Regions from separate parts of the Mus musculus genome. Here all the other regions are reported to be linked to region 3. Evidence: microRNA targets listed by miRTarBase, many of them from high-throughput screens and not tested one by one. Region 3 holds a microRNA gene; each other region holds the end of a gene's coding sequence.
Evidence for each region. Region 3 holds the annotated microRNA mmu-miR-344d-3p (GAUAUAACCACUGCCAGACUGA, at 4,456-4,477, shown strand). A microRNA usually pairs through its seed, bases 2 to 8, with sites in the 3' UTR of a target mRNA and lowers its output. Matches are read on the target gene's strand: a 7mer-m8 pairs with bases 2 to 8, a 7mer-A1 pairs with bases 2 to 7 and ends in A, and an 8mer does both.

Region 1 (7,898 bases), not on the chromosome of region 3:
ACATTTGTGTTTTGTCCTAAATTGTATTAAGTTACCTTCTTGTGGGTGGGGAGAAGATAGTCAGGGCTTACATGACTGAAGAGAGGGGAAAAGCCACTGATACGATGTCCTCACACAAAGCTCTGCGAGTGCATGGCTGGAGCTCACCTGTGCTCTCAGGAAGGAGGAGGGAAAAGTACACTTCTGACATGAAGCTGAGCAGAAACATCAGAAGGTGCAAAGCCACATTCCTCTGTTCATTGAGAAGGTCTCTGTTTGAAAGCTGTGGCGAGGGGCGGTAAATACTGACTTAGAAACGCCCACATAATGACGTAATGCGTCTGCTGTTATGTGACCTGTGCTTGAGTCTGCTGAGCATGGGTGCTTGGAGGAATGAGGACATAGGGCATGAGTTAACCCAGAGATCGCGTGCGCACGTGTGCGTCTGAGTGTCCACAGATTTACTTAAGTCTACTTTTGTGATAGAAAATACTTAGAACATAAAATCATACTTGGTAGTGACATTTGTTGCTCCTATGAGATGCACACAGTATTTCCTTGGCCCAGTAAAAGTTGCATACTTAATCTTCACTAAGAAAGGAGGGAGGGAGGAAGGAAAAAAGAAAAGAAAATCACCTTTGCTTGGAAATCATGTAGATTTGTCTCCTTAATTTCATTATAACAGAGGTCAGATTGCTTGACAGAGAAGCTGTGGGTTTGGTCTGGCTGCTGGAACTGAAAGGCCTTTGAGCCATCGTTTAGAACCTGCTTCTGAGAGGGGAGCTCTGCTAGATATAAAGAACGCATGCACTGCGAGTGTGGTTGCCCTGCTGAGATTCATGGGAGCACTACAGTTGTAGTGTAGCCCAACAGTCAGTCAGCAAGTGTTTCTGGAAGCCGTCTGCCGATGCCACCGTCATAGCCTGTGCTGGTCTGGATGAGCCTGACTCCTGTAGGCTCATAGATTTGGATGCTTGGTCCCCAGTTAATGGAACTGTTTGAGAAGGATTAAAAGCTGTGGCCTTAATCCTGTCACTTAGAGTGGGCTTTGAGGTTTCAAAAGCTCATGCCAGGCCCAGTCACTGTCTCTCTGTCTGCTGTCTGCACCTTGCTTACCTTGTTTCCACCATGATGATAATGAACTGACACTGATAATGAACTGTAAGCAAAGCCCCAGTAAATGCTTTCTCTTATAAGAGTGGCTTTGGTGGTGCTGTCTCGTCACAGCAATAGAAGAGTAACTAAGACGCAAGCCATGCCTTAAGTATCCCTTAGCCTGGGCACACACAAGCATAGCTTTCTGGCCCAGACACTGAGAGGCCCCTCCCTTGCTGCGAAGGACTCTGGGCTAGCTTGCTTCACTGCTTTTAACATTTAGAGAAATTGATTTTTAAGCACTTATAATCTTAGGAGGCACTTTTCTTATACTCCTGTCTGCTGCCTCCTTATTGAAAAATTGTACTGGAGCAAAAAGGCCATGACCTCTAAAGGTTTTGTGCATTTCATATATTTGCCATGTGCCTTCTGCACACAGGGACCTAATGAGGGCTTGCCATTTAGCAGATATTATATGTTCTATGTTCTATAGTAGATAATTTTGTGGATGTTTTTACTCAGTGTTCCCCACTGTCAGTGTGGGCATGTGCCGTTGCTCTGAAGGAATACGAAAGGGGAAGCCACTGGGCAGTGGGAAGACTTCTTTTGGATTGCCTGAAATTGTGGTTGCAGAGGCTGTAAACTGTCATGTGGGTGCTGGGAATCGAATGCCCGCCCTCTGGAAGAACAGCCAGTGATCTTAACTGCTGAGCCTCTCTCCAGTCTTATCCCCTTCAACCTTACACAGTGCGCAGGGGGATCCACCGGGCTGGAGAGGCGGCTAAGCTGGTGAAGGCTAGACTCACACCAAAAGTCGGTTTTCCTTCCATATACTAATCTACTTACTTAAATGTAAAGTGTGAGGCAAAAACTTTTCTTGTTCTTTATACTGAAAATAAACTTTCCTGCACCTGTCTAGAGTTTCAGCCTAAATCTTTCTCTTGCTTGCAGTTGGATGTCACGTCAATGTGTGTACAAATCTAGTGTCTCAGGCCTTCACCACAGTAGACTGTGGGAAGCGGGTGGGTGCTGGCGTCAGCTTTGGGTTGAGCTCTGTGTCTGCTCCGTGCTGGCCGTGAACCCTTGAGCAACTTCATCTCTGCCTCAGTTTCCTCCCCTAGGAGATCATGAAGTCATGTGCCTGTTGTCAGTGTTGTGTCACAGTGTTGACTGATACACAGGGATTAATTACTTAATGAATGTCAACAATTGTGACTGTTGTCATTGTTGCTTATTATTACAATTTAAGTCTACACCACTATTTAAAGTAACTGCTATGCTATACCTCAGATTATAACTCATCTGTTGAAAAGTTTCTAGAGTTTTTCAGTTAACTCAGGACAAACTACCCAGTCCTCTGTGTTGTGTTTTTGGCCTCCTCATGGGGCCTGTCTGCCTTGTTCAGAGAGAGGGTCTTGTTCTTAAGGGCTCTCCTTCCTGTTCTGCGCCACCTACTCCTGATTTTTAATTGTTTTTACCACTTTAGTTTTCCTGTTTTTTGTTTTGTTTTGTTTGGATTGGCTGGGACTGGATTGGGTTGGAATGCTGGTGATGGGAACCAGGACCTGCCTTCCACATGCTACTCTGCTGCATGTATTTATTGTCTGTGTCATGTAGGTTCCAAGATCACACTTGGGCGCTTAGCTTGGCAGCCTTCTGGGCCCAGCACAACAAAACATTGAATCATTATTTTAAGATCCTGAAGAAATGGATCTATAGCTGCTATGTACCAACTAAAACTTCCTATAAAGAAACAAGCAGTATGAGACTTCCAAGAGTAGTAAGCATAGTGCCTCCACCCCTAGAAAAGAAAGGAAAAGAAGTAACAAGACCGTGGTGAGTGGGGCCATGAGAAAACCCCACCTCCTGCTCACAGCACCTCCTGCAGGTCACAGCCAGGGACCTTATACTCAAGATGTTGTTTTATAATAACAGTTAAAATGCTTTTCAGTTTTTGCAAATGAAATGTTTAAATTTTTCATAGTAATCTGGTAATGTTGTGATAGAGCATTTAAAATACTTTCTGCTAACTGGTCATTTTATTACACCTCCCTCCAACTGCTCACAATTCTCTTAGTTATTTAGAATATAAAAGTAAGTGGGCTGGAGAGATGGCTCTGTCAGGTCCACTGCTGCTTAGGAAGGACTCCAAGCTGACAACCATCTGTAGCCCATAGGGCATCTAGTGTTGTCTTCAGTATCCCAGGCCCCAGGCATGCCCATGGTGCACTCGCACGCACGCACACCAGCCAGGCACACTCACAACTCTTTTTAATTAAATAAATTACCTAATATGGTTTTCATCATTTTTAAGTTTCTTTTTCTGTCTTTACATTTTTAAGTAGGGTATTGTTAGGGTGTCTGTTTTCAGTTAGAGAGTATTTTTCTCTTAGTAAGTTATACTGTGGAAATACCCAAGATAATAACAGTCTGGGGAGGACTTGTGGACCAGAGTAAGATATCAAATGACCTTCAACTTTGACAGATCTGCTTCAAGGTAAAAGCAAAGACTTTACTGATTTCCAAACTGCTTTAGTTGAGATGTGTTAAAATGAAAGCAACGTAATGTTAATTCTCAGCCACCGACCAGCTCTGTTTCCTGAGAGCATCACCTCTGCTTAGAAATACAAGAATTGGGTGTTAGGCAGTTGGTGGCCCTCTCCTGTGAGCTGTCCCCATCTGCACAGGGCCTACTTAGGCTCTGACGTTAGCTCTGTCTTGGTGTCCTTTTCTCTACAATTCGTTTCCTGTTAATGCTGACATTTGGCAGTATGAAAGTGTGTGTTTCTACACACATAAGATAATCTACAGTCGTTCACATGTTTGTTGTCCTTCATTCTAGGTAAGGAGGATGAATATCCAAAGAAACCCTTGGGGCAGCTTCCACCTGAGTCTGCTTGTGTTAATCACTTGAGCAACGGACAAAGAAGTGTTGGCCGGCCCAGCCCCAAAACAAGCAGCAGGAGAGAAGATGGATCGCCTCGCAAGAACCATGAGCACTCTCCTGTCCATCACAGTAGAAACGGCACACCAGAAAGAGCCGGCCAGTCACGGCGGAAGTCCGTGGATGAGGGGAGTAAAAATCTCAAGCATGAGGCAGAGTCTCAGAGAAAACCTTCACCGGGTATGCAGGACAGTTCCAGACACTATAACCATGCAGCTGCTAACCAAAATAGCAATGCAATTTCAAACGTCAGGAAGGAATTTATGCCCAAGTGGAGAAAACCATCAGATGCCTCAGCTATTGAAAGAACTACTAAATATGCCGTCGAAGGCAAAAGTCACTCAGCTCTTCCCGCTCTTCCCGTCGCCATCCCAGGCTCTGCTGAGACCCGATTGCCAAACTCAAGGCAGAAGATGAAGGCTTTGGATGGGGGTGAAGGGAAGCGGGGTTCTAACGCTTCCCAGTATGACAACGTGCCTGGGGGTGAGAGTGAGCATGGGGCATCTGCGGAAGAGGGACCAGAGCGGACTCACCCTCACAGTCCAAGGAAGCACCCGGAGCCAAGTCCCAGTCCTCCAAAAGTACCCAACAAGTTTACGTTTAAAGTGCAGCCTCCCAGCCATGTACGATACCCACCCCAGCTACCAGAGGAGGACCACAGAGCTGCATATCCACCCTCCTACAGCAACCCCCCTGTCTACCATGGAAATTCTCCAAAACACGTCCCTACTGCTCACAGTGGTTTTGTGTCTACACAGATCAGCCCCAGGCCTCAAATTAACCCTTCCAGGAGACCTTACGGTTCCTCTCTTTCAGTTGACACTTCTCCAGAGAAAGCCTACAGCCGCCCAACTCCTGTTGTTCTGCCCTCTAGTCGAATTGAAGTCCTTCCCATTGACATGGGTGCCAGGGGCTACGGCAGTTCGGGGTCACCAAAGAATGGACAGTTCATCCTTCCTCCGGTGGACTATTTGCCAGAGAACAGAAAATGGTCAGAAGTTAGTTACACATACAGACCGGAGATGCATGGCCAATCATGGACTCGGGATGCTCACCGTAGCCACTTAAGCAATTTACCAAACTATGCAGCCTTTCAGCACATACCGTTTCAGGCCCATGGCCTTCCAGAAGTGTCTGTAGACAGTCCAGTGAGGTATAAGATGTCTGCAGCTGTGGAAGATGCCAGTCCTCCTGGGTATCCATATGCAGGGCCCTCACCTTCCGCACATCACTACAGAAATGGAGAGGGACTTTCTGTGCAGGAATCAGTGTTGCTGTGAGCGTGTGGCTGTATTCACTGACAAGAGAATAGAAACAATATGCCCACATTGCTATGTTTATAATTGCCAGAGCAGTATTTTTTATATTGTAAACAGCGTGCGCAGCTCAGTGTGTGTCAGTGATAAGAGTGTGGGAAGGCTTCATCCTCTGCAGAGGCTGCTGAAGAAGAGTGGGTCAGCTGCATCCTGGCTGAACCTTTAATAGGGGACCCTGGGGACCCAGCAGTAGCACGAGGGCTGCACACACAGGGCGGCTCTCTGTGCTGGTCCCTTCGTAGCTCCCCAGACCCGCTCTGTTCCGTTGCTGTTAGAACAGTAGACTACTGACCGCTATAGAGCAGATACTCTGAGGGCCGACCCTCGCCTTTTCATAGACAGACGAGGCAACTGCATATAGGTTTTGTCTTTAAAACCACCTTTAATCTAGATACATAGACTAACAGTGGATTTTTTTTAACCCTTTATCTTTCTGCCCACCCTGCCCAAACATATTTTAACCCAGGTTCTAAACTGAAACTGACTAGAGATGAATCCAGCGCCTGACAGAATGTCATTCTCCTTCAGTTGCTGCCATTTTATCTCCTCCTGAAAGCTAAAGGCTCACCACTTGATGGTGCCTAAAGTGGGTCGGTTACCCGAGTGAGCGGCTGCACAGTGCTCACTGAGTCCCCTCATCTCCAGCAGTCTTGGTGCTGCTGTGCCCCGGGCTCTGGTCTGGCCGGGTGTGAGGGAAGTCAGACCTTGCAGGGCCCCAGGCCGCAGAAGATTGCATTTCACAGTCGTGGGGAAGCAGCTCTAACCATAAGGAAGGCTGCTTCTCACCCTGCTTCCCCTTCTCACAGGCTTTCTCTGGCACTCGGTCTTCACAGAGCACAGTGGGTGGATACTGCTAACACTTACTGGGCCCCGGTCGAAATTGTGAAAAATACCCTAATGATTAATAAGGAATTTTAATCTAGAATTTTGATCTTTGTAAAAAAAGGGGAAAAAGGGTAGTTTGTTTCATACTTTTGGAATTTTTTTTCAGTGAAAAATAACTGAAGTTCATGGTTTTTAAAAAAGGTGATGATTCCTTTTATGCTATCACACACTACTGTCACCGAGACACTGACAAAGTGCTGGGTTCTCCAAGAGCGATGGCGGCGTCTGTGTAGGTGCTCGCCCACCGTTACCCTCTTCTTGTATCTGAATATCAGAAACTAGAAAGTCCAACAGTGACACTCCCCCTGCTCCAAGGTGGGGACTTAAGTTTGTGAGGTACAAGAATATGTTTTCATGAAAGTAACATTGTTTATCTAGCAAACGTGACAATATTTTTATGTATATAATGATTCTAATCTAAGTTAATTAATGTGGTAATGATGTTATTAAGTGTGGAAGCAAATGCAGTATATTAAAGGTGAACACCACACTGAAACTCCCAACTCCTGACAGAATAACCAGGCTCTTGATTTAGATCATGTGGAAGGTGAGATATAAATGTATATAGACATGTAGCTGAGGATATTAATTTCAGTCTTAAAGTGTGACTTGTAAGGAGCCAAGCTGTACAGTTTAGTTCATGATGGCAGCTCTCTGCCTCTTCAGAAAGTATATATCATAGTGGTAAATAATGTAGATTATATATATACATATATATATATATATATGCTATATATGGACACACTATTTTCTTATGTCATCTATGGCATTTTTTTATCTGTATACTTTTTGATGTGGTTGATTGTTTTTAACATGCTAAAAGTAATCCGTGTATTTTGTTCTGTGTCTTCTGTGTGCAGCTTCCCCGTGGCAAGTGTGTCCTGGCCTTGCAGGGCCTGGCAGATGCACCACGGGCTCACCAGCAGCGTTTACCCACGCTGTGCTTCTCTGCTTGCATTTCCAGGGAGACCGTGTTTTGAACCGCATCACCTTTCCTTGGCTTAAGCATTCGTTACTAATGGCAGGAAAGTCTTCCCTTCTATAAGATATATATCTCTGTTAGCTTCAAGTAGGAAATTTTAATTTAAAATTATTTTGCCACTATAAAATTTTATTTTAAATTTATTTTTAAATAAAAGAAATGATAAGAGAAATAATATTGACAAAGTGATTCAAAATCTATTTATAGAAAGGCTTGCTGGGGACATTCCAGGCAGATGAGCAGCCATGCCCCATAACGGCGTGCCCACAGTGGCCGGGCCATGGCTTAGGCTTCCCTCATGGTCACTTTGCCCATTACGTCAGAAGTAAGTGTCTGGGTGTGGTAGTATAAGTTTCTTAAGGAATTGTCCTGCTGACCTGTATCTAACTAATGAACTTAAGGGTCTGGGTTTTTTTTTCTTTTGTTTGTTTGTTCATTTTGTTCATTTGTTTGTTTATTTTGTTTTTAATTATCAAGTCTCACCCCAGACCACTTAAATCCTATCTTTGGTAAAACGCAGGTATCAGAGAAGCATATTTCCCTTGTGTCTCTTAATACTGTCATCTTGAAACTCTCTCTAGGAAAAATGCCCAAGTTGTCTTCTGTTTCTATTGTGGGATGTTTAAAAATGGTTTGTTGTTGTTGTTTTGGTTTCTGAAGACAGTATTGCTATATATCCCAGTCTGACCTTACTGTG
Region 2 (8,003 bases), not on the chromosome of region 3:
GATCAAGTTTTGAAGAAGGAACCATGCACCCACTATGATTTGTAATCTCTACAAAGAAAAAGGTCAAGAAATGATATTTTCTTCTGTGATAACCAATATAATTTTCTTTGACATTTGTCACTTTATGGTAGCCCTTTAATATAAGTGAGGTATTTAGACATTATAGATGCAAAGGGGTGTTGTTAAGGATCCGAGAAAACGTTTCTGGATTTAACAACGGTAATGGTAGAATGGGATCCAAACTCTCCTAATGCTTTTACTACTTGAAAAAGCTATAGGCACAGACCTAGCATGGTCTTCAAGGATTCTATAGTATTTAAGAAACAATAGAAGAAAGAGACTACAATATCTCAGTTTGTGTCCAATCATTACTAAATATAACTACACTCTGTCCATAGTTTCTACTTTTGCTTTTCCAGCTTTACTACAGATAACTTGATTATCATCTTTATGGATAACCACATTTTACCTCTCAGTTCTTTCTCATGTTATACACAGGCTTATACCATCTTTCTGATGTCCTCACATCTAATCTTAAATAAAATCTCTCCCCATTTCAAGTGGAACAAGTAGCAGGATTCAAAGACTCATATGTCACAAAATGTACCAGTCAATGGGATTTTTGATAATTCCATAATGATTGTGACAGGAAAACAGTATTCCTTGCACATCTCCAGAGGATGTTCTCTGTTCTTAATTTTAAGTTGGGCCCTTATAAAAAACTGAGTAGTAGGAAGGACATGGAGAATGACCAAGACAAGCAAACAAATAGAAGCACATTTCTAGGCAGAGTCATCACTTTATATCAGAAGAGACCATTTTATAATTTTTGAACCATATTTTCGAATAGACTTACAAATATGGAATTAAACCAAGATATTTTTCTAAATGGAAAATATCCTAGTGACTGTACATATAAATACTCCGTGTACAAGGTTTTTGGGGATTAACTAATTTGCTATGATTACTCAACTATTACAGATGATTTACTTATGTTTCATATCATCCCTGCCAAGCAACCTAAGGCTTAGGTTAATGTTAAAGAAAACAAGAATTTGCAATTGAAAACAAAATGGGAGGAAAAGGGAGGAAGGCAGAGAGAAAGTGGTCTTGAGAATCAGTCTTCAGTGAGATCAATTAGGAGTCTACTCTGTTGTTATTTCTCAAGAATATGTCCTCACAGCCAAAGACTCCTTCCATTTATGCAATGGTGACAGTCAACTAAACACAATCCATGGACTACTACAGAACATGATTCAAAGTCTGATTTATCATTTAGTGCTAACTAATGTGTCCAGCTTTATACACATCCCCTTGAATACTCTCAACTACCCCCCCCCAAGACAGAAATATTACCTTCACTCCCCTGTCATTCAGCTTGCTATCAGGTGGTGCTGTGATATACCTGGTGTTAAAACATTGGAATACTTTAGTAATACCTTTTATCTAAGGCCTTCATTCCCTGCATGTTGGGGATATCAACATTACAAACACACACACACACACACACACACACACACACACACACACAGAGAGAGAGAGAGAGAGAGAGAGAGAGAGAAGAGAGAAAGACAGATGACACACTAGACTAACCAAGAAGCCATTTTAACTAGACAAAGTCATGCTGGAGTACTATACTCTAATGTCACCAATTTGTGTCATGCTGTTGTTGCCTTTTCCCCATAGGGTTGTTAAAATAGAGTGTCTCTTACCAAGTCAACCAATGACTAATGAATAAACTATATATTATGTAATTCCTACATAAGCCCATTGCAATCATGAACAGTTCTGCCTTCACCAAACGGCTGACCCTGAGGAAGCAACACGGGTCCAGTGATTTACCAGCAAGGTTCATGATAAAAAGATAAAAATTTGCATAGGAGAGCCTCACACCTATTTTTAAAAAAATGCTTCACTCTTCTCTATATCCTGTACTCCATTCATAACATGCTCTTACCATTTACTCCTGAAGGTGAGAGGCATGGGCACAGTCACTTAGAAACTCTGGTATGGTGTATACAAACATGCATGTGCTCTTCTATCACCTGTACCATTGCATGTTTCGTGCTTTTGTGAACCAACTCATTTGGACAAGAAGCACCTAATGCACCATTATTAAACTGAAAATACTCAATTATACATGACTTAACTATTACCTTATACAAATTAAGAATGGCAGATTTGTGAAGATAGGAATGGCTTTGGTGGGGACTTGGTCTTTGGAGCAGACAGAATAGAGCTGAATCACAGATCTGGTACTTACAAAGACATGTGACTTTGAACCAGGTTATTTTTCTTGCTGAATTTTGTTTCTACATTTTAATATAGGCATATAATATATAATAACACTGGTCTCTTAGACTAAGGGAATCAATACCCTTCATGTAATGGCTGGCATATAGACAATGTTTAGGAATCCTAAGTCAAAACAGTGGTTTCGAGGCAAAAAATTAAACAGACTTCAAAATTAAAGCCAAGGCTCACCCATGGCACTGTGAAGAATCCCTGTGAGCAGGCTCATCTAAAATCCCTGTCCAGGCTTTTAACCACTTGCTCCAATTCTCTTTCAGGTCTTCGGGTTTTTGAATTTTATCCTCTGGGCTGGAAACATTTGGTTTGTTTTCAAGGAGACTGGCTGGCATTCCTCTGGACAGAGATACCTTTCAGACCCCATGGAGAAGCACTCCAGCAGCTACAATCAAGGACGCTACAACCAAGAGAGTTATGGGTCAAGTGGTGGGTACAGCCAGCAGGCGAATCTGGGGCCAACTTCCGATGAGTTTGGCCAACAGCCTAGTGGTCCCACTTCCTTTAACAATCAGATATAACGGAGTATCACCCAAATTCTTCTGGTGATAGCATCACCACCCTCCATTTCAGTAGCAGAAGAATTTTTAAGAGTTTCAATCAATTATTAATGTAGAGAATGTTGAATGTAAATCAGAGATCTGTAGTCCTCATTAAGACACAAAGGCCTGGGTGGTGATAAATGGTACTTAGAGATGAGATGTCATAAGGAGATAAATTATTCATCACAGATGGGTAATTAGAAAGTATCTTGTTATATACACAGACACTTTTATGGTCGTTTTGTATTGTGGTAAAAATAGTAGAAGCATTTGTAGCTTAAAGTCTCTAGTATGTAATGTGCATAGATTACCTTAAATAGTATACAGTTTTCGTATGTGTTTTGATGCAACAAATATTTTACTGATTTCTAGATGACTATTTGATGAATCACATCATGCATGCATTACTATTTTTTAGTTTAGGCCTTTTAGAACTGTAACTCTGTTTTGATAATTATTCTCTATTGTTTTCACTTGATAAAACAATGTTTATATGATTTCATGCATGAATAAGTATTTTCTCACAGAATGTTTGGCTGTATTTCTGGAGACATTTCAGTTTGCATCATGAGTTTGTTAAGCAAGTATTTAAAGACATGTATGCATGTCTTTCTAGACTTTGCAAGTTTGTCACTCTGACTTTACCCAAGTTCTGAATGCATTAGAGCTAAAGTCTGGGAGCTTTCCCTATTTGTCAATAGTGTTCTGTAAGGTGACTGCTCAACACTTCTCTGATTTATTTAAGTAAATATTTACATTCTTGTAACTTTCTATGCAGTTTCGTGTATCTTATCTTACGAGCCATGACTGATAACGTCCAATGACCCTGTGCTTGTAGAGTGGCGTTTTCTTTGCATCCAGAGAGGCAGATTTAGACACCATAGTTTAAGTAGTATTAAGAAATGAGCTATGCTGTTTTATGTGACCAAATGAACGTTTGTTTAGTTTTGTTTATTTTTGAAGCTAATATGTTGTTCATTCTAATTTTAGAAATCTCATGTTATAGCTTAACAGAATTACTAATTTCGATTTGCTTATACATAGATTAATAATGGCTTCTCTATGTCACTCTATTCCCAAAGAGGGTTCTCATGAAACTCTCCACAGAACATATTCATTATTAAGAAGAAACCAATCTTCGTTTCTTCATTTTAACTCAATTGAAATAAGAATGCCCAACAGGAAGGGCAAGCTAAACATCTGTGCTTCTAGATAAAGTTGTAACTGATGTGCAAATTGTATGTGTGATCTGTGATGTTGAAAGCAGTTTAGCACAAAATAGGCTGTCTTAAATACTATCTGTAACTAGTTTCTTAAATCCTATTGTTTATTAAATCCTGTACTGTGATATCTATTTGACCTCAATAAAGTTATTGCATACAAACTGACTGAACAATGAAGAATCATAACTATAGGGCCCTGTTGGCTTTAATCATGAGAGAATAAAGGTTAAATGCAATTCTTCTAGCATCTATGCCCCTATCTCCTGCCCCTCCCTCTCACACTTTTTTTATTTCCACCTTTTTGTGCATATTTTATTTGCATTCTCAGATGCCCTCTCCTCCTGTCTCTATGAGTGTGTGCCCCCATCAACCCTCCCACTCCTGCCTCCTGCCCTTGCATCCGCTATACTGGGGCATCGACCCTTCACAGGACCAAGGGACACTCCTTTCATTGATACCCAACAAGGCCATCCTCTGCTACATATATGTCTGGAGCCAAGGGTCCCTCCATGTGTACTCCTTGGTTGGTGGTTTAGACCCTGGAAGCTCTGTTTGGTTGATATTGTTGTTCTTCCTATGGAGTTGTAAATTCCTTCAGCTCGTTCAGTCCTTTCTCTAACTCCTCCATTGGGGAACCCATGCCCAATCCATTGGCTAGTTGAGAGCATCCACCTCTGTATATATCAGGCTCTGGCAAAATCTCTCAGGACAAAGCTATATCAGGCTCCTATCAGTGCACTTCTTGGCATCTACAATAGTATCTGTGTTTTTTGGCTGTATATGGGATGGATCCCCAGGTGGGGCAGTCTCTGAATGGCCTTTCCTTCATGTATCTGCTCTGCACTTTGTCTCTGTATTTGCTCCTGTGAGTATTTTGTTAACCCTTCTAAGGAGTGAAGCCTTTGATCTTCATTCATCTTGAGCTTCATGTGGTCTGTGAATTGTTATCTTGGGTATTGCCAGGTTTTGGGCCACTTGTCAGTGAATGCATACCATGCATGTATTTTTGTGACTGAGTTGCCTCACTCAGGATATTTTCTAGTTCCATCCATTTGCTTGAGAATTTCATGAAGTCATTGTTTTAAATAGCTAAGTAGTACTCCATTTTATAAATGTACCACATTTTCTGTATCCATTCCCCCCTGTAGAAGGACATCTGCGTTCTTTCCATTTTCTGGCTATTATAAATAAGGTTGCTATGAACATAGTAGAGCATGTGTCTTTGTTATATGTTGAAGCATCTTTTGGGTGTATGTCCAAAAATGGTATAGATGGGTTCTCAAGTAATACTATATCCAATTTTTTGAGGAACCATGAGACTGATTTCCAGAGTGGTTATACCGGCTTGCAATCCAACCAACAATGGATGAGTGTTCCTCTTTGTCCATGTGCACGCCAGCATCTGCTGTCACCTCGGCATGACTCTAACTAAGGAAGTGAAAGATCTGTATGATAAAAACTTCAAGTCTCTGAAGAAAGAAATTAAAAAAGATCTCAGAGGATGGAAAGATCTGCCATGCTCATGGATTGGCAGGATCAACATTGTAAAAATGGCTATCTTGCCAAAAGCAATCTACAGATTCAATGCAATTCCCATCAAAATTCCAACTCAATTCTTCAACGAATTAGAAAGGGCAATCTGCAAATTCATCTGGAATAACAAAAAATCGAGGATAGCAAAACCTCTTCTCAAGGATAAAAGAACCTCTGGTGGAATCACCATGTCTGACCTAAAGCTTTACTACAGAGCAATTGTGATAAAAATGGCATGATACTGGTATAACGACAGAAAAGTAGACCAATGGAATAGAATTGAAGACCCAGAAATGAACCCACACACCTATGGTCACTTGATTTTTGACAAGGGAGCTAAAACCATCCAGTGGAAAAAAGACAGCATTTTCAATAAGTGGTGCTGGCACAACTGGTGGTTATCATGTAGAAGAATGCGAATTGATCCATTCCTATCTCCTTGTACTAAGGTCAAATCTAAGTGGATCAAGGAGCTCCACATAAAACCAGAGACACGGAAACTTATAAAGGAGAAAGTGGGGAAAAGCCTCGAAGATATTGGCACAGGGGAAAAATTCCTGAATAGAACAGCAATGGCTTGTGCTGTAAGACCAAGAGACAAATGGAACTTCATGAAACTGCAAAGCTTCTGTAAGGCAAAAGACACCGTCAATAAGACAAAAAGGCCACCAACAGATTGGGAAAGGATCTTTACCTATCGTAAATCAGATAGAGGACTAATATCCAATATATATAAAGAAGTCAAGAAGGTGGATCCAGAAAATCAAATAACCCCATTAAAAAATGGGGCTCAGAGCTAAACAAAGAATTCTCACTTGAGGAATACTGAATGACTGAGAAACACCTGAAAAAATGTTCAGCATCCTTAATCATCAGGGAAATGCAAATCAAAACAACCCTGAGATTCCACCTCACACCAGTCAGAATGGCTAAGATCAAAAATTCAGGTGACAGCAGATGCTGGCGAGGATGTGGAGAAAGAGAAACACTTCTCCACTGTTGGTGGGATTGCAAGCTTGTACAACCACTCTGGAAATCAGTCTGGCGTTTTCTCAGAAAATTGGACATGGTACTACCGGAGGATCCCGCAATACCTCTCCTGGGCATATATCCAGAAGATGTTCCAACTAGTAAGAAAGAAACATGCTCCACTATGTTCATAGCAGCCTTATTTATAATAGCTAGAAGCTGGAAAGTACCCAGATGCCCCTCGGCAGAGGAATGGATACAGAAAATGTGATACATTTACACAACGGAGTACTACTCAGCTATTAAAAAGAATGAATTTATGAAATTCCTAGGCAAATGGATGTACCTGGAGGGCATTATCCTGAGTGAGGTAAGCCAATCACAAAAGAACTTGAATGATATGTACTCACTGATAAGTGGATATTAGCCCAGAAACTTAGAATACCCAAGATATAAGATACAATTTGCAAAACACATGAAACTCAAGAAGATCGAAGACCAAAGTGTGGACACTTTGTCCCTTCTTAGAATTGGGAACAAAACATCCATGGAAGGAGTTACAGAGACAAAGTTTGGAGCTGAGACAAAAGGATAGACCATCTAGAGACTGCCATATCCAGGGATCCATCCCATAATCATCCTCCAAATGCTGACACCATTGCATACACTAGCAGGATTTTGCTGAAAGGACCCAGATATAGCTGTCTCTAGTGAGACTCTCCCGGGGCCTAGCAAACCCATAAGTGGATGCTCACAGTCAGCTATTGGATGGATCACAGGGCCCCCAACGGAGGAGCTAGAGAAAATACCCAAGGAGCTAAAGGGAATTGCAACCCTGTAGGGGGAACAACATTATGACCTAGCCAGTAGCCCGGAGCTCTTGACTCTAGCTGTATATGTATCAAAAGATGGCCTAATCGGCCATCACTGGAAAGAGAGGCCCATTGGACTTGCAAACTTTATATGCCCCAGTACAGGGGAACACCAGGGCCAAAAAGTGGGAGTGGGTAGATAGGGGGGCTGGGGGGAGGGTATGGGGGACTTTTGGGATAGCATTGGAAATGTAAATGAGGAAAATACCTAATAAAAAATACTGCCTTAATCAAACAGGGATTTTACTAAGGTAGCTTTTAGCCGTTATGGAGGGAGAAAAATGAGGAATAATCAGAACTGTTGGTGTGCCTGGGATCACCAAGATTGAATGTCGATTCCTAGGTTCACTGTTTATTGATTGTTTCAATATGTTAACGGACCTGCTTCCTTGAATGGTCGAAGAACACAGGTAGGAAAGGGTTTCTGGTGAACAGATCACCTAAGTTAGACTTCTCACCCCAACATTTTCCTGTCTCCCCTTTCTTGCCCAGTTATTTCTCCAAAGCCCTGTGACTCTTCCATAGCCACAGTCTACAAGCACCTGCAGTTTGTAAGT
Region 3 (8,003 bases):
AGTTTCCACTGAATAATTTTTCTGTGGGTTAATATAGTGAGAAGATTGTAAAAACAGCTTTTCCTGCCACCCACTTTCTATTTTTCTGCTTTCATAAGGAAACACATGAAGGAGGGTGCCAAGAGATGAATCAGCATCACCTAATGGATCTTTAAAGTTACTGCAGGATTTGATGTCCATGCCTAGATCTGAGATCTCTCTGCTGATTGAATCTGATTCCACTCTCTATTTGAATCCACATTCTCAATCAATCAGAAGTGTGGAAAACAACAGAAAGGTTGTCTGCAGGTGAACACTTGACAGATAACCTGCTGGCTATATACTTCAGGCCTCATCTGGTCCTAGATATAGCCAAAACCACACTGAATCATGTTAAAGAGATGGGTACTTGGGCCAATGTCAGCAACAGAGAGAGCAGAAAGGTGCTAAGACTGTGCTTGATTATTTCAGAGAGTTCCTGCTCTGATTCTTTAGATCCTTGTTTTGTATAGAATTTCAGGCCTCTGATTTTGAGTGTCACTTCTTTGTCTTGTCATGCCTTCTGCAAAGAAGATAAAAGATTCAAGCTTCAGCTTGTGACACAGGACTATGGATTTTCTGATATTTTTATATCCTTAGATCAACCACTGTGAGAACTGCAATGACAACAAACGTCCTCAACATCCTACCTTGTAGTCTAAGAAAAATCAGAGGTAACTAACAGACACAGATCCTACCATACCCAGAGTTCAAGCAGCCTTGGGACAGTGACGACAGTAGCATGCTACCATTAATGACCAATGACACTCAACAATAAAACCATTGTTTATTCTGTTATTATTCTTGTAGTTTACTAGATTACCTAGCCAGCTTTTCTTCCAGGTCAGTCTTTTGCTACTTAATGACTCAGTAGAGTCATGAGCTCTTCAGGGAAATCAATATATCATGTTCTGATCATAGCCAACTTAGTATTTTATCATGTAAAGAAAGAAATGGACACAGGAATTTTCATTGTGACCTTTTACTGAAGGATACTGTGAGTCTTAAGATTTAATGCTATTTTCTTTCTGTCTTTAGAGATCAGGTCTCTGTTATATATCCTGGATATTTCTGATACTGTATTGCTTAGATTAATGTATTCCTGACAGTAGAAATCACATTAGAGCTTTATATGTGTCAGAAAATTCCCTGACCTCTTTAAAACCACACATTAAGGAATTGAAACCCCATAGGAAGAACAACAATATCAACCAACCAAACTGCTCCAGAGCTCCCAGGTACTAAACCACCCACCAAAGAGTATACATGTAGGGACCCATGGCTCATATGTAGCAAAGGATGGTCTTGTCAGGCATCAATAGGGGAAGAATACCTTGGCCCTGAAAAGACTCAATGCCTCAGTATATGGGAATGTAAATGCAGGGAGGTGGATTTTTGATGGGTGGGTGGGAGAACACCCTCATAGAAACAGAGGGGTGGAGTATTGGAGAAGGGGTTACTGTGTGAAAAAAGGGGAATGGAGGATAACCAATAAGTTAAGAAAATAGCCTATGAAAATAAAAAAAAATAGAATAGAAAATCCACACATTAAAAGTTCCACATATACCATATTTGAGTGTCAATAACCACAGCATATTAACACAGTTTTGAAAATTGAGTTGAATGAAATATTTTTCAGATTTATGTGACACTGCAGCATTTCATACAAACTGAGTACAGGTGGAGTAGGGCATGGGCAGAATACTAAATTTAGTATTAAAATAACTCTTTGTGGAAGCATGAAAATATAATATAAACATTAAATTATCAAGGAACAGCCATGCACTGAGCATACAACAGATAATTTGGATAAGGAAACAAAGGCACATCACAATGGGTGAGCAGGCAGCAAAAAATTGTAAGATAGACAGTCAGGTGAAAAGGAAACTGAGAATCTCTGGCAAATAACTTAAAGCTAGGAAGAAGGAGCCAGAAATAGGAAGATTTCCAAAGTCACAGTGACTTTTTTTTATGTTTGTCAGTGTAGAATGAATATGTTTAAAACATTTTTTACCCTCTGCTTTTAATAGCCCTGCTTCCTTCCAGGAAGCCAGAGAGGAGCCAGTGAGGTATGAATCAGCACTGACGGAGAGCTCCAAGTATTCAGCAGGACTTGATGTCCATGTCTACATATGGGATTTCTCTCCTGATTGGATCTGATTCAATTCTCTATTTGAATACACATTCTCAATCAATCAGAAGCAAGGAGAGCAAATAAATTTGTCTGCCAGGGAAGATTTCATTAGTCTGGTTGCTGGCTATATTCCAGGACTTATCTGGTCCTGGATATAACCACTGCCAGACTGAATGGTGCTAAAGAGAAGGGAGAGTGCTTGTGTCACTGTCAGCAGACAGCGCCAGTGAAATCATCAAAGCCTGTGCTTGTTTATTTCAGAGCCTCAATGCACTGATTGCTTTGGTCGTTTTGTATTGTAGCTGTCGCTCTATGGGAGATTCGGAGAATCTCTATGGGAGATTTGGAGAATGACACACTTTTCTCAGTCATGCTGGAATATGTCTTCTGCAAAGAAGATACAAGATTCAATCTCAGCTTGTGACAGAGACTAAGAAAAATTTTCACATTTTCACAAACTTAGGTTAGACACTGTGAGAAGTGCTGTGGAAGCAAATGCCTGCTACATACCACCATGGAGTCTCTGAAAAATCTTGATGTAACTAATAGACACAGATACTACCTTACTCAGGAACTAAGCATCCTTAGGGCAGTGATTCTGGCAGCAGGTTTTTATTTATGGTATGAATATTCAACAATTGAAACATTGTTTATAGTGTTATTTTATATTTAATATACTAGAATCTTGAGCATGTATGTTCTTCCAAGCCACTTCATTACTAACTATATGTTCAAGAGAGTCATGGGTCCTTTAGGGAAATCAATATATCATCCATCTCCTGAAGATCTCCACCTTGGTATTATATACACTATAGAAATGAAATGAGCACAGAAATTTTCATGGGGAACTTGTACTAGTGACTCCTTTGAGACCTATATTTTTTTTCTGTTATTTCGAATCTGTCTTAAGAGTCCAGGTCACTGTTGTATATCCTTGACATTTCTGAAATGTATTACTTTTTTTTTCAGATAATCTTTACAGTAGTAAACGAATTACAATTGTATGTACATCAAAATAATCTCTGTCCTCTTCATGAGCACACTTTAATTTTTACTTCACTTTACATATGGTTTTGATTATCTACAGTCCATGAACAATGTTTTCAACTCTAGATTACACTTAATACTCTCTCTCTATATATATATAAGAGACAGTTGCCGGGTGGGGGAAAAAAGAGACAGTTGTTTATTTTGTTATTTTGTTATTGCTCTTGTCCTTTACTAGATTTTCTTGGCTGATATTCTTCCACATCAGTTCTTTGCTATATAACAGCTCTTTAGAATCCGGAACCCTTTACAGAAATCAATAGATCATGTCCAGATCATCTCCAGCTGGTTAAAACGCAATATAAAGGAAGAAATGGATACAGTAATTTTCATTGTGATCTTGTACTCGTAGATATCTTGAGTCCTAAGATTTCTAATTATTTTCATTCTGATTTTAGAGAGCAGGCCTCTGTTATATATTCTGGATATTCATGAACCAGTATTATTTTGAATAATATATTCCTGACAGTAGAAATCACATTAATCTCTATATGCATCAGAAAATGGCATGTCTTCTTTCAAACTACACATTATATTTTCCTACACACAATGTTTTGTTTTACATAATCACAGCATATAAATATTGTTTTCAACACTGAATTTCATTTAATATTGTTCAGATTTTTTGAGACACTTGAGCATTTCATGAAAATTGAGTATTTAGGAAGCATAGTATGGGCAGAATATTGAAGTTAGGATTCCAAATCCTCTCTGAGAATACACTATTAAACATTATTGTACTAGGAAAGGTTACAATCAGAACATAAAACAGAAGCAATAGGGGAAGAAGATACAGGCACATCACGATTATTCAGCAGGCAGCAAAATTTCAAGATAATAAACAGTCAGAAAGGCTTGAAAAAAGCAGGGGAACTCCCACAAAGAGCTTAAATTTAGGCAGATGAATCCAAAAATCAGAACATACTTAACGTTCCACTATCTTGTATTTCTGTTGGTTTGTGTAGAGAGAAGGTTTGTCTGCCATCCACTATCCATTTTTCTGCTTTCTTTGGGGAAACCAGGGTGATGTGCTTGAGCTATGAATCAGCAGCATGGATGGAGATCTCCAAGGTTACAGCAGCATTTGATGTTCATGCCTAGAAATGAGATCTCTCTCCTGATTGGGTCTGATATCATTCTCTATTTGAATACACATTCTCCATCAATCAGAAGCAAGGAGAGCAAATAAATTTGTCTGCAGGGGAAGATTTCATCAGTCAGGCTGCTGGCTATACACCAGGACTTATCTGGTCCTGGATATAACCACTGCCAGACTGAAAGGTGCTAAAGAGAAGGGAGAGTGTTGTTACTGTCAGCAGACAGAGCCAGTGGAAATCTTCAAAGCCTGTGCTTGTTTATTTCAGAGTCTCCATGCACTGTTTGCTATGGTCCTTGTTTTGTATAGTAGCTGTCAGTCTATGCAAAATTCAGATTTGGAGATTGACTTACTTTTCTCAGTCGTGCTAGGATATGTCTTCTGCAAAGAAGATACAAGATCCAAGCTTCAGCTTGTGTCAGAGACTAGGAATTTTTGGAAATTTTTATATTCTTAAATTAGCCACTGTGAAGACTGCTATGGCAGCAAATGTCCTCAACATGCCAACTTAGATTCTAAGTAAACTCAGATGTAACTAACCAGCAAACATACTACCATTCCTCGAATCCAAGCAGTATTGGGTCTGTGCTGCTAGTAGCATGTTACCTGTAATGGCCACAGACCTTCAACAAGACAACTATTGTTTGTTTTCTTATTATTCTTATCCTTTACTAGATTCTCTAGGATGTTTTTCTTCCAGGTCAATTCTTTGCTACCTCAGAGCTCGATAAAATCATAAGCCCTTTACAGAAATCAATAGATCATGTCCAGATCATCTCCAACTGGATAAAACATGACATACAGGAAGAAATGGATGCAGTATTTTTATTGTTATCTTGTACTTGTGGATAACTCGAGTCCTAAGTTTTCATGTTATTTTAATTCTGTGTTTAGAGGTCAGGTCTCTGTCATATAGTGTAGATATTCATGAAACTTTATTATTTTGATTTATACATTCATGACAATAAAAAAATCACATTAATCTGTACATGCATTAAAAATGCCATGGTATTTTTCAAAACACATATTTATATTTGTACACACAATGTTTTGTTTTGGATAATCAAAGCATTAAAACTTGTTTTCAACACTGAATTTCTATTAATATTTTTCAGGTTTTTGAAACACTCCAGTGTTTCTTGCAAACTGAATACTTGGGGAGCAGGGTATGGGCTGAATATTGAACGTTGTATTCCAAAACCTCTTTGAAGATACCCTATAAAACATTATTGTACTGGGAAAATCTAAAACATGAATATACAACAGAAGCAATTTCCAAGGGAGATGCAGGCACATCAATATTTAGCAGGCCACACAAAATTTGCAAGATAATAATCGCAGTCAGAAAGGCCTTAAAAGAAGCAGAAGAACCTTGGCAAAGAGCTTACATCTAAGCAGAAGCAGCCAGAAATCAGAACACCCTTAACATTCCACTAACTTGTATTTCTGTTGGTTGTGTAGAGAGAAGAATGTAAAACCAGCTTTTTTCTCCATCCATTTTCGGTTTTTCTAATTCCTTTTGAGAATCCATGGTGAAAGTGTTGAGGTATGAATCAGCAGGACTGATGGAGATCTCCAGTGTTGCAGCAGGATTGGATGCCCATGTCTACATATGAGATCTCTCTCCTGATTGGATCTGATTTCATTCTCCATTTGAATACACATTCTCCATCAATCAGAGGCAAAGAGAACAAATAAATTTGTCTGCAGGGGAAGATTTCATCAGTTAGGCTGCTGGCTATACTCCAGGACTTACCTTGTCCTGGATATAACCACTGCCAGACTGAAAGGTGCTAAAGAGAAGGGAGAGTGTTGTCACTGTCAGCAGACAGAGCCAGTGAAAATCTTCAAAGCCTGTGGTTGTTTATTTCAGAGCTTCCATGCACTGATTGCTTAGCTCTATGTTTCGTATAGTAGCTGTCAACCTATGGGAAATTCAGGTATCTGATTTGAAGTGTGACTTACTTTTCTCAGTCATGAACGTTTGTTTCTTCTGCAAAGAAGATACAATATTCAAGCTTCAGCTTATGACAGAGTCTAGGGGATGTCTGACATCTTCAGATCTTTTGTTCAGGTCCTGTGAGAATTCCTGTGGCAGCAAATATCCTCAACTAACCACCATGAAACCTCTGAAAAATCTGACGGTAGATCATACATTATCCAGAATCAAATTACTCTTCAGACAGTGATGATGGTTACCTGTTGGCATTAAAGGCAAGAAGCATTTATAGATATAACCACAATTTATACTGTTATTATTGTTTTAATTTACTAGATTGTCTAGGTGGTCATTTTTCCAAGTCAATTTTTTGCTAAATAACAGTTCAGGGGATCTTGACCCCTTATGGAAATCACTATATTATACTTTGATTATCCACACCTTGGTATTACAGTATGTAAAAGAAGAAAGTGGGCAGTTATATTCCCCGTGACCTTTTACTAGTGGTTACCTCTTAGACCTATGATTTTCTGCTTATTTGTATTCTGTCTTTAAAGACCTATTCTTTGTGATATAATCTGGACATTTATGAAACTGATCTATTGTGGTGAAGATATTCCTGACAGTCTTAAACACCTTATAACTATATATATATATCAGAAAATATAATGGCACCTTTACAACCACATCACGTTGATTGTTCCAAATACACCATGCTCTTTTGTGAATATTCACATCATATAAATATTGTTTTCAGCACTAAATTCCACCAAATATTGTGGAATTGTATGAGACACTCCAGTATTTCATGCAAACTGAGTATGCTTGGAGAATTGCATGGGCAGAACATGGCACTATAATTCTAATAACTCTATTATTATTACAGTATTAGATAATATTTTCTAGGATATTCTATAACCATAGTTTACAACAGAAGCAATTGGTGAAGAAGACACAGAAATCCTGCTATTAGTCAGAGGCAGCAAAATTTGCATAATAAAAGTAACAGTCTTTTTGGTTCAAAAAGAAACAGAACCTATTTGGTAACTGGCTTGAATCTAGGCAAAAGAAGCCAGAAATAAGAACAGCTCCAAGATTTCATTGACTTGTTTTTCTTTTGGTCACTGTAGATAGAAGAAGTTAAAAACAGTTTTTCTGCCATTCACTTTCAAATTTTCTACTTCCATAGGGAAACTCAGGGAGGAAGGGGGTTGGAAATGAATCAGCAGCACTGATGGAGACCTCCAATATTACAGCAGGTTTTGATGTCCGTGCCTAGGTTTGAGATCTCTCTCCTGATTGGATCTGTTTCCATTCTCAATTTGAATGTTCATTCTCAATCAGTTAGAAGAAGTAGAGCAAATAAATTTGTCTGCAAGGGTAGATTTTACCAGTCAGGCTGCTGTCTATATTCTAGGACTTTTCCCCCCTTTTATTGGCTTTTTTCTTATTTACATTTTAAATATTATCCCCATTCCAGTTCTCCACTTCAGAAACCACCAATCCCATTTCCCCTCCCCTGACTCTCTGGGGGTGATCCCTCATGTAACCACCCACCCACTGTCAACTTTACACCCTGGCATTTCCCTATACTGGAGCATCTAACTCCCTCACACCCTAGTTCTGCTCCTCTTACTGATGTACAACAAGGCTATCCTCTGCCACATATACATTCACAGCCCTGGGTCCCTACATGTGTATTCTTTGATTGGTGGTCCAGTCCCCTGTTGCTTTGGGGGTATGAGCTAGCTGACACTGTTGCTCCCCCC
Region 4 (8,003 bases), not on the chromosome of region 3:
TGTGTGTGTATGATTGCACAGGACTCCCGCCCACAGGGACACAGCTTGTCCCAGAATCCAGCTCCGCCTCCTCTTGGATACACTGAAAACACACACTTCCTATCTCCTACCCAGAAGCAGGTAGGTTACACGAAAACAATGATCTGATAAGGCTTATCTGTAAAAACATGCCAAAAGGTAGTAACAACTGAGATCTTCGTGTCATATAGTGGCCTTCCTGGAACAGCATCGGCACACGTCTTCAAAGAGGGTAGTCTAGTAATAGACCCATTCAACACCCCATTCTCTCAGCCTCCTCCTGCTCCACCCATAACCTCTAGGAGTTGTAAATGAGGGACAGGGAACAGGTGACCAAAGCGATCTTCTAGGCATGTCCAACCTGTCGCCCCAGGCCTACATACAACCAAGAATAGCTATAAAGGCGGACTGACACAAATTTGTACACTTATTTAAAACATGAATTCTTCATGCGATTTTTTTTCCCGTAACTCAATTGAGCAGTTCTCAAGCATGAACTTTATAGATGACAGCATCACGTTGCAATGTGAAAAGGTTGGACATGCCTGCTTTGAGGCAGTGGCCAAGGCTTCCACTGTGACTTTGACATTGAAGGCCCTGCACTACAGCTTCCAGGCTGGTGTTCAGATTCCCCTATGCTGGTGTGCTAGCCCCGTCATCTGGGGGGTGGAGATGTACCCTGGCTAAGTGTGTTGGACCATATGAGCGCAACCATAGACTCTGCACGCCTAACTCCTGTTCTGTTTGTTTTAATTTATCAAGAATTCCAAGTCAAATTCTGTCCCTATTATCCTGGCCATCGTGGGACTGATGCTTGTCACAGTCGTAGCAGGAGTCCTCATTGTGAAGAAATATGTCTGTGGCGGAAGGTAAGAAGTGCGGAAGTGGGTCAGAGCTACCAAATCCAAACCAAAAGCCACCCCAGCCCATGTGGTCCAGTTTTCTTGGCGGACACTAAGGAGTTAATGATAACCCTGAAGATCAGGTCTAAATTGTGTATTGTCTATCTGCATGCAGTGCGGCCATGAGTGTGGAAAACTGAGGAAATTCCATACTATAACAAATGCTCCCTCTTCAGCTCGGGAACTAAGCAGGGTCCCCTCTACAGGTTCCTGGTGCACCGGTACTCGGTGCTACAGCAGCACGCAGAGGCTGACGGCGTAGAGGCTTTGGATTCAACCTCCCACGCTAAAAGCGGATATCACGACGACTCAGATGAGGTGAGGCGCTTTCTTCTTGAGGAATTATCCAAATTTTTTAAGTCTTTTTATTTTTTAATCTGTTTGTTTTTTGAGACAGGGTTTGTCTAACCTTGGCTGTCTTAGGACGAGCTCTAGGTCTAGTAGATCAAGCTGCCCTCGAACTCACCAAGGCCTGTGTCTGCCTCTCAAGTGCTGGGAATAAAGTCTTAAAAAGAGTTCCTTTTATACTTCTGATCAAGACAGTCTCCAGAAAGATGGCGCAGGGATTAAAAGTACTTGCCACTCTGGCAACCCAGGTTTCATTCTCTGCGAAGACATGATGGCTCACCACTCACTAGAACTCTGGTTCCAGGGAATCCAATGCCCTCTTCTGGCCTCCCATACATATATAATGAAAATAAGTAAATCTATTTTAAGTTAAAAAAAAATACACCTGGGACCAAGTTATGCATGAGCCCAAAGCAGCACTGGAGTGACAAGAGGCGCAGAGCAAGCAGGTGATTGCTTTCAAACTAGCTTCCTAACTTGTCAATAACGCGCACGTGTCTTTCTTTTCAGGACCTCCTGGAATAGCTCTTCAGAGGAGCTGGGACTGCGTGTGCGTGGAGCCACAGTACCTCCTACACTCCCTGAGGCTCCGACTTGGGGAAATAAATTTCCCACCTCGTCGGCCCCAGCTCTGTTTCTGCCACTCCTGTCCAAGCCCAAAGGACCTACACTAAAGAAAGCAGGATGGGGGTGGGGGACCCCGACTGACCTCACAGTTGGCTCTGAGGAGAGGGGGGAAATTTTAAATTCTTTAACATTTTTGTTTCAATTTCTGTCTTTTGTAAGACTGTGGGCTTTAGGCTTCTCTTGGTTTGTTTTGTGCATTAAGGGACATAACTTGGGACTCAAAGGGATTGTTTCGCTGACCCCGCTCTTGTGTGTTCCCTCTGGTGCCCACCCCAGGGCATCTGCCAACTCCAGCATCAACTCAACTCCCACCGCATACCTGGTGCTGTCCCTGGGCTCTGCTGGTCATGTGAGGCAGCCTCGGAGAAGGAAGCAGAGGGTGTAATGACTGGCACACCTGGACAGCTTTTCTCCATCCGCAGACAGCCCTGTTCAGAGAGTACCGAGCACCAGCCCTGTGCGGCTTCCTCATCCCCACCTCACCCCCAACCACTACTGTAGGGCACAATGACTTTTCTTTTCCCGTTTAATTAGGCAATACCCTTGTTAATTGCCCGTTGGCAACTAACTTAATCATGTGCTTCCAACACACTAAATAGGGAAAACTTACAGGGCAATATTTTTAACTTGTGGCAAGAGGGAGGCAGAGAATTGACTAGCTCTGACACCTATTAAAGACAAAACTGGCTGCTTCTGAGCTCTTTCAGGCTGTACTTTGTGCTGTGCCAGTGGCTCTGCCCAGGCTCCGCCATCCCTTTACTGGAGTTCATTGGTCAGTGCACAGTGCAGCCACAGGACTGACCGTCGTAGGCTTCCATTTTTCCCATCACCCACTGTAAAGGCTCAGAGTTGAACTACCACTGTGGCTGCTTATTGCTTCCTCCTAAGTTGCTACTGTTCATAGAACTGGGACTGGGAATGTTTTCAGGTTGATGGACTTTTTCAAGCTCAAAGTTATGTTCCCAGACTATCCTCACCCTTCCCCTAGTTTTGCTGAGTTATTTGTTGTCCAGAACCTGTTGGCTAACCCCACTGAAGGCACATTTCTAGATGATGCCGTGTGTGGTCAATACATTGCTTTCATGTTTTAAATTTAAGGAAAAATTTTATCTGATATTTTTCCAAATTAAATAAGTTAGAGAATGCAATCGGCGGATGTGGGGGCGGCCATCTGGTAGTGGAAAGCTGTAGCGATCTGAGTACAGCTTAGATGTTAGCTGGAGAGGAAGATGGTGTGGCAGGTCTCTGGTCTCCCTACCCCTGCTGTGCTGATCACAGTCCCTCCCAGTTACCACTAGGACATTCTCTAGTAGATCCATTTTGCTGTCACTTTATTCTATGGCTAGAAAGTCAGTGGAAAGTAAATGTGCCAAACTCACTTGTCAGAACACACGAGCAGATGGCAGAGTCCTCCTCCCCAGCAGGAACAAACGGCATCAGGGAAAGAGGGGGAGGAAGAGGAGGGAGAAGAAGAGGAGGGAGAGCCAAAGAGATGTCAACTGCAGCTCAGTGAGTCATGGAACGTCAGTTAGAAAACGAAGTTAGGGTCGTTTCTGGGAAGAGAATCAATACCTGTTAGAGCCAGAATGCTCCAAGTCTTTTAGCTTGTTCATTTTGTAATGATTCTAAAATAATTCCAAAGATATAGCAGCTCATAAATTTATCAAAAGTTCTGTCCACCCTCACCTCCTGCCAAGGGGAGAGATCTATTTCTACTACACGCTGTCTCTCCCAGTACATCCCCGGATTGGTGTGGGTAGATAGGCCAACGTATGGTGATCTCCCCTAGTGTCTGGATGGACTTAATGCTCATCCCTGACCAGAGACTAGGGTGCTCTGCCTCTAATGGTTTCTGGGATTTCTGTAGAGCTTGGCAGTTTCTGGCTCATTTCTCTTGAGCACCGCACTATTCTTGCCATAGAGAGAGCCCAGGAGCCAACGCTGAATCAGGTGCCCGGAGTCTTTGGAGCTCTGAAACTCTCGGCTATGCAAGACCCCGGGTCCTTGCAGCAGAGCTTCTCATGGGTGGCTTGCTGGGGCCGGGCCGAGGACTCCTCAGAGGCGTTTCCTGCAGAGCCATTATTTTGACGCCTTTTTGTTTTCTTTTTGAAAAACAAAATATTATTCCCCTGCTTCATGGCTGAAATAAAAGGTGATGGTAACTGGGGGCACCCCCTCTCCCTGGGATAGCCACTGTCGGGGAGCACAGGACCAGCCTCTGGATCAGTCCCTCTCTGCCCCTTCACTTCTGTCTCTAGCTCACTGGCTCTGTGGGCTTGGGCTCTGCCCCTACAACGGCTCTCAGAAGCATTCACACGCACAGATGTGCAACCTCAGCCAGAAGTTGAAGCTCTTTAAGCCATTTTATTTATTTTGTTTTTTACAGAATTTGTGCTTTGGTTTGCCCTGCGCAGCCTTGGAGCATCATAAGCCTGGCTGGTGGGCATAGTTATTCTCAGCATTGTGGTGGCAAATGACGTTGGTTCTAGAGACTTAGAGACTTGGGCAATAGGATTTAACACTGCTAGGTAGCTCAGACATATCAGAAAATCCATAGTGGCCTGAGTTGTAAATCCAAAACATATTTTTGTTGGCTTGGGACGTTAGGGGCTTGGGGTTTTCCTGAGGCAAGAGGTCATGGCTGAATGGGCCTGTGCCGTGAATTGAATGGAACACTACTTTGAGGCCCTTGGAGAGTGACAGCAGCTATAGGGTGGACTCAGGAGCTGTCAGTCTTAACAGCTGAGCCTTGGACCCCACTGCCTCTGAGTCTACATTCTGGCAGGCAGTCCCATGCTCTGGGCCTTACCTCTAGTCCCCTGCCTGCTCACACCTGGTCCCCTAGCCTTTTCTCTTGGGCAGTGTAGTAGTATGGGCGAGCCACCCTCAGCTCTTTTATTGGCCGGGGCTATAAACCATGGCTGGGCATAACTATTCCGAACTGTCCCCCCATCAGGATACAAGATGCTGAGAGGGCTGCAGGGCCATTCCATCAAGCCCCAGGGTGAAAGGGCTGGCATGGCATCGCTCATTTTATTGCTCTGCAGGTAAACTGTATAGGTATAGAGTCCTCCAGTGCTCTGAAGAGCCCTGCCTCTATGCACGCCCCCGGCAAAGGGCTTGTCAGTAGGTCCCCCTCAACTCCATACTCAACAGGGATGCACAGGATTGCTAACAGAGGGCGGGGCACACCTCAGTTTTCTATCACCTTCCTACCAGAGGGGAAAGTAACCTGAACTTTAATGTCTTTTGGAACAAAACCAAAGTTTAAGATTTGCCATATGACGACGTGGTGACCGGGAAGTCCAGAGTCGGCAAGCAGGTGCCAGATTTTCTATCCCATCAGCCAGTGCTTCACCAGGTGCAGGCTGCTATGGGCTTGTGGAAACCACAGGTACAGGTGGGATTTCATGGGTCCATGTGTTACAAAAATAAGAATTGGAGCATTAACTTGAAATTGTCTTCAAGGACTTGCTATGTGCACTTCTTCACACCGGTACATTCTCTGCATCTGTTTATATGAAATAACACAAGCTAATCTGTACCTTTATATATATGTGTGTGTACATATATACATGTATAAACTGTATAGTGTACATGTTAATGATTTATCAGTATGCCCCGAATTCCTAGTGCAGTTCTCATTCTCCGCATGCCCTCAGCTGTGGTCAGGTGACTTCCTGTCCCCTGGCAGCTCTGCTGAGTCCCTGTGTTTGAGCCTCCAGGGAGAAGGGTTTGGGCTGCATTCTTCTTATCCCCATGCACAGAAACGCTCAGGGTCCCCACGTGCCTGTTGTCCTCCCCTCTAGTCCTTTGTTCCCTTTCTGAGCATGTGGCCCCTCCCCCGGCTGTGAGGGGCAGCCGCCTTCCTAGGAAAGTGTAATGCAGGATCAAGACCACCACTGCATGTGTACTGAAAACTGCAGACTTCTGCCCGCTTGGGACAGAACATTGCATGTGAGGTGGGATTATCAAGTTTCAAAGACCTGTGTCAACCATACAGCAAAGGCAGACCCCATAACGACGTCCCACAAAATGGAAATAAAACGCAAAATCTCTTTAGCATTGTGTAAATAAATCTGGATGTGTTTAACTTTGTACTGGTAATTTTCTGTATATTTGCAATATTTGGGTTAGAAATAAACAGCCTGGACTTTGGTACCTAACCTACTAAGATGAGTAAGCTACAGTTTTGTATTGTTTTGTTTTTTAGTGAGTGTTTCTAGCTTTCTGCCTTCAAAAAGCAAAATCTAGCAACGAAAGAAGCATCAACTTGAAAGTCAACACTGAGCCTTTCTAGCTTGGAGGGAGGGAGGCAGTTTATGAGGAAATGGATGCTTGTCTGTAAGTTTCTAACTTTTGTTGTCTTTTCTTTTTCTTGATCTTTATGCTGTGGAGGTCTGCCTGCCTGCCTGCCTGCCTCCCTCCCTCCCTCCCTCCCTCCCTCCCTCCCTCCCTCCGTGGAAACCTAACAGCACACTGTACACTTTCTCCAGTGTCTGTTTCTGCACGTCTGGACACAACAGCAGATGGCTACACTCTGGAGTTGTGTGCTCCCTGCAGCTAGTTTGTCAAATGAACACTGGAAGGCCGTAGCTCTACGTGTATCTCTCCTTCCCTTGCTCCTCTCGCAGACCTGCGTGCTCAGCCCCCATGTCACCAGAAGGAGCTCCCTGCCTTCAGCCATTAGCTATCCCACTGTGCCCTGGGATAGCATTTTGAACCAATATTTCCATTCGGTGTTCCCACATCGCAGTCTGGAGATGGCGGGGCACAGGCCTTGTTATCCAGCAGGAGTTTTTACCCCGAGGATCGATCCAATCGGGTCTAAGGGATTCTAGCACATCTCAAGACTCCTTCACCAGAATCAGGCTGGCCTAGAACTTGTTGTGTAGCTCAGGCTGCCCCAAAATTGATGGTCATCCTTCTACTTCCACCTTCAGAGTGAGTGTCACTATGTCCAGCTCTGAATTGAACTTTATGATGGGCAAACTGAGGAGTCTGTAGTTTTAAATTTGATTCCTTAAAATTCTCTACATGTGCAGTACAAGTGTGTGTTTGTGGCGGGGGGGGGCGGCGGGGGGGGGGGCTAACACAAGAGGCTTAGGCCACTTTCTCCACAAAAATGGCTAAGAATGGATTAAAGAGGTCCCCCTAACCTGGAGAGAACAGTCAGTGAATTGTCCACTACACAAACACGAAGGCAGTATCCAAGCCCATGTTAAAATCCCAGTGCCCAAGAGGCGCACACAGGACAGTTCCTGGACCTCAATGGCTAGCCTAGCCTGATCAAAACGCCCCAGGTCAAAGTAGGACACCTCTCAAAAGCAATATGGGGGGACCCTTGGGGGTCTCAGAGACTGAACCGCTAGCCAAAGAGAATGCACTAGCCAAAGGACCTAGGCCTCCTGCACATATATAGCAGATGTGCAACTCTTTCTGCAGTGAGTGCCGAACAACTAGAACATGGGCTGTCCCTAAAGCTGTTGCCTGTCTGTGGAATCCATTCTTCTAGCTTGGCTGCCTTCCTTGTCTGTCCTGAGTGGGAGAGGATACACCTAGCCCCACAGAGACTTGATGTGCCTGGCAGGGGTGTGGGGGAGGGGAAAGGTGGGGGTGGATACCTGGGTGGGGCTCCACTCTCTCAGAGAAGGGGAAAAGGGATGGGAGGAGGAACTGTGGGAGGGTGGACAACAGTCAGGATGTAAAGTGAATAAATGAATGAATGAATGAATGAATGAATGAAGAAATAAGGAGGAAGCCGGGCGTGGTGGTACACGCCTTTGATCCCAGCACTCGGGAGGCAGAGGCAGGCAGATTTCTGAGTTCAAGGCCAGCCTGGTCTACAAAGTGAGTTCCAGAACAGCCAGGACTACACAGAGAAACCCTGTCTCGAAAAACCAAAAAAAAAAGGAGGAGTATATAGGAGTATATATATGGGGCTGATAAGATGGGTCATTGGCTCAAGATGACTGCCACCAACCCTGGCTATCTGAGTCTAATCCTTGGGACCCACATGGTGGAAGGAGAGAACTGACTTTGGAAAGATGTCCTCTGACCTTCAAATATGTGCTAGAGCTCCAAGTTTGATTCCAAGCATCCTGTGGA

Region 1: miRTarBase lists Usp6nl as a target of mmu-miR-344d-3p. Seed matches in the 3' UTR shown: 7mer-A1 at 6,918-6,924.
Region 2: the mRNA of Synpr is a reported target of mmu-miR-344d-3p. Seed matches in the 3' UTR shown: 8mer at 3,061-3,068.
Region 4: the mRNA of Sort1 is a reported target of mmu-miR-344d-3p. Seed matches in the 3' UTR shown: 7mer-A1 at 5,443-5,449.

Annotation. Positions count from the first base shown.
Region 1 is chr2:6,436,445-6,444,342 of GRCm38, forward strand. Usp6nl (USP6 N-terminal like) reads left to right here. Exons shown (of 15, transcript NM_001080548.1): 15 at 3,917-7,376. The coding sequence ends at 5,298. Gm13388 (a long non-coding RNA gene) reads right to left here and starts at 1,160. Exons shown (of 4, transcript XR_373976.3): 1 at 72-1,160.
Region 2 is chr14:13,611,154-13,619,156 of GRCm38, forward strand. It overlaps Synpr (synaptoporin), which reads left to right. Exons shown (of 5, transcript NM_001163032.1): 5 at 2,571-4,316. The coding sequence ends at 2,828. Among named protein-coding and RNA genes, the nearest start is that of Sntn, 56 kb to the right of the region's middle.
Region 3 is chr7:61,679,601-61,687,603 of GRCm38, reverse strand. Mir344d-1 (microRNA 344d-1) reads left to right here and starts at 4,412; the gene lies at 4,412-4,480. Mir344d-2 (microRNA 344d-2) reads left to right here and starts at 2,253; the gene lies at 2,253-2,332.
Region 4 is chr3:108,355,451-108,363,453 of GRCm38, forward strand. It overlaps Sort1 (sortilin 1), which reads left to right. Exons shown (of 20, transcript NM_019972.3): 18 at 781-887; 19 at 1,127-1,238; 20 at 1,779-6,069. The coding sequence ends at 1,793. Among named protein-coding and RNA genes, the nearest start is that of Mybphl, 5.5 kb to the right of the region's middle.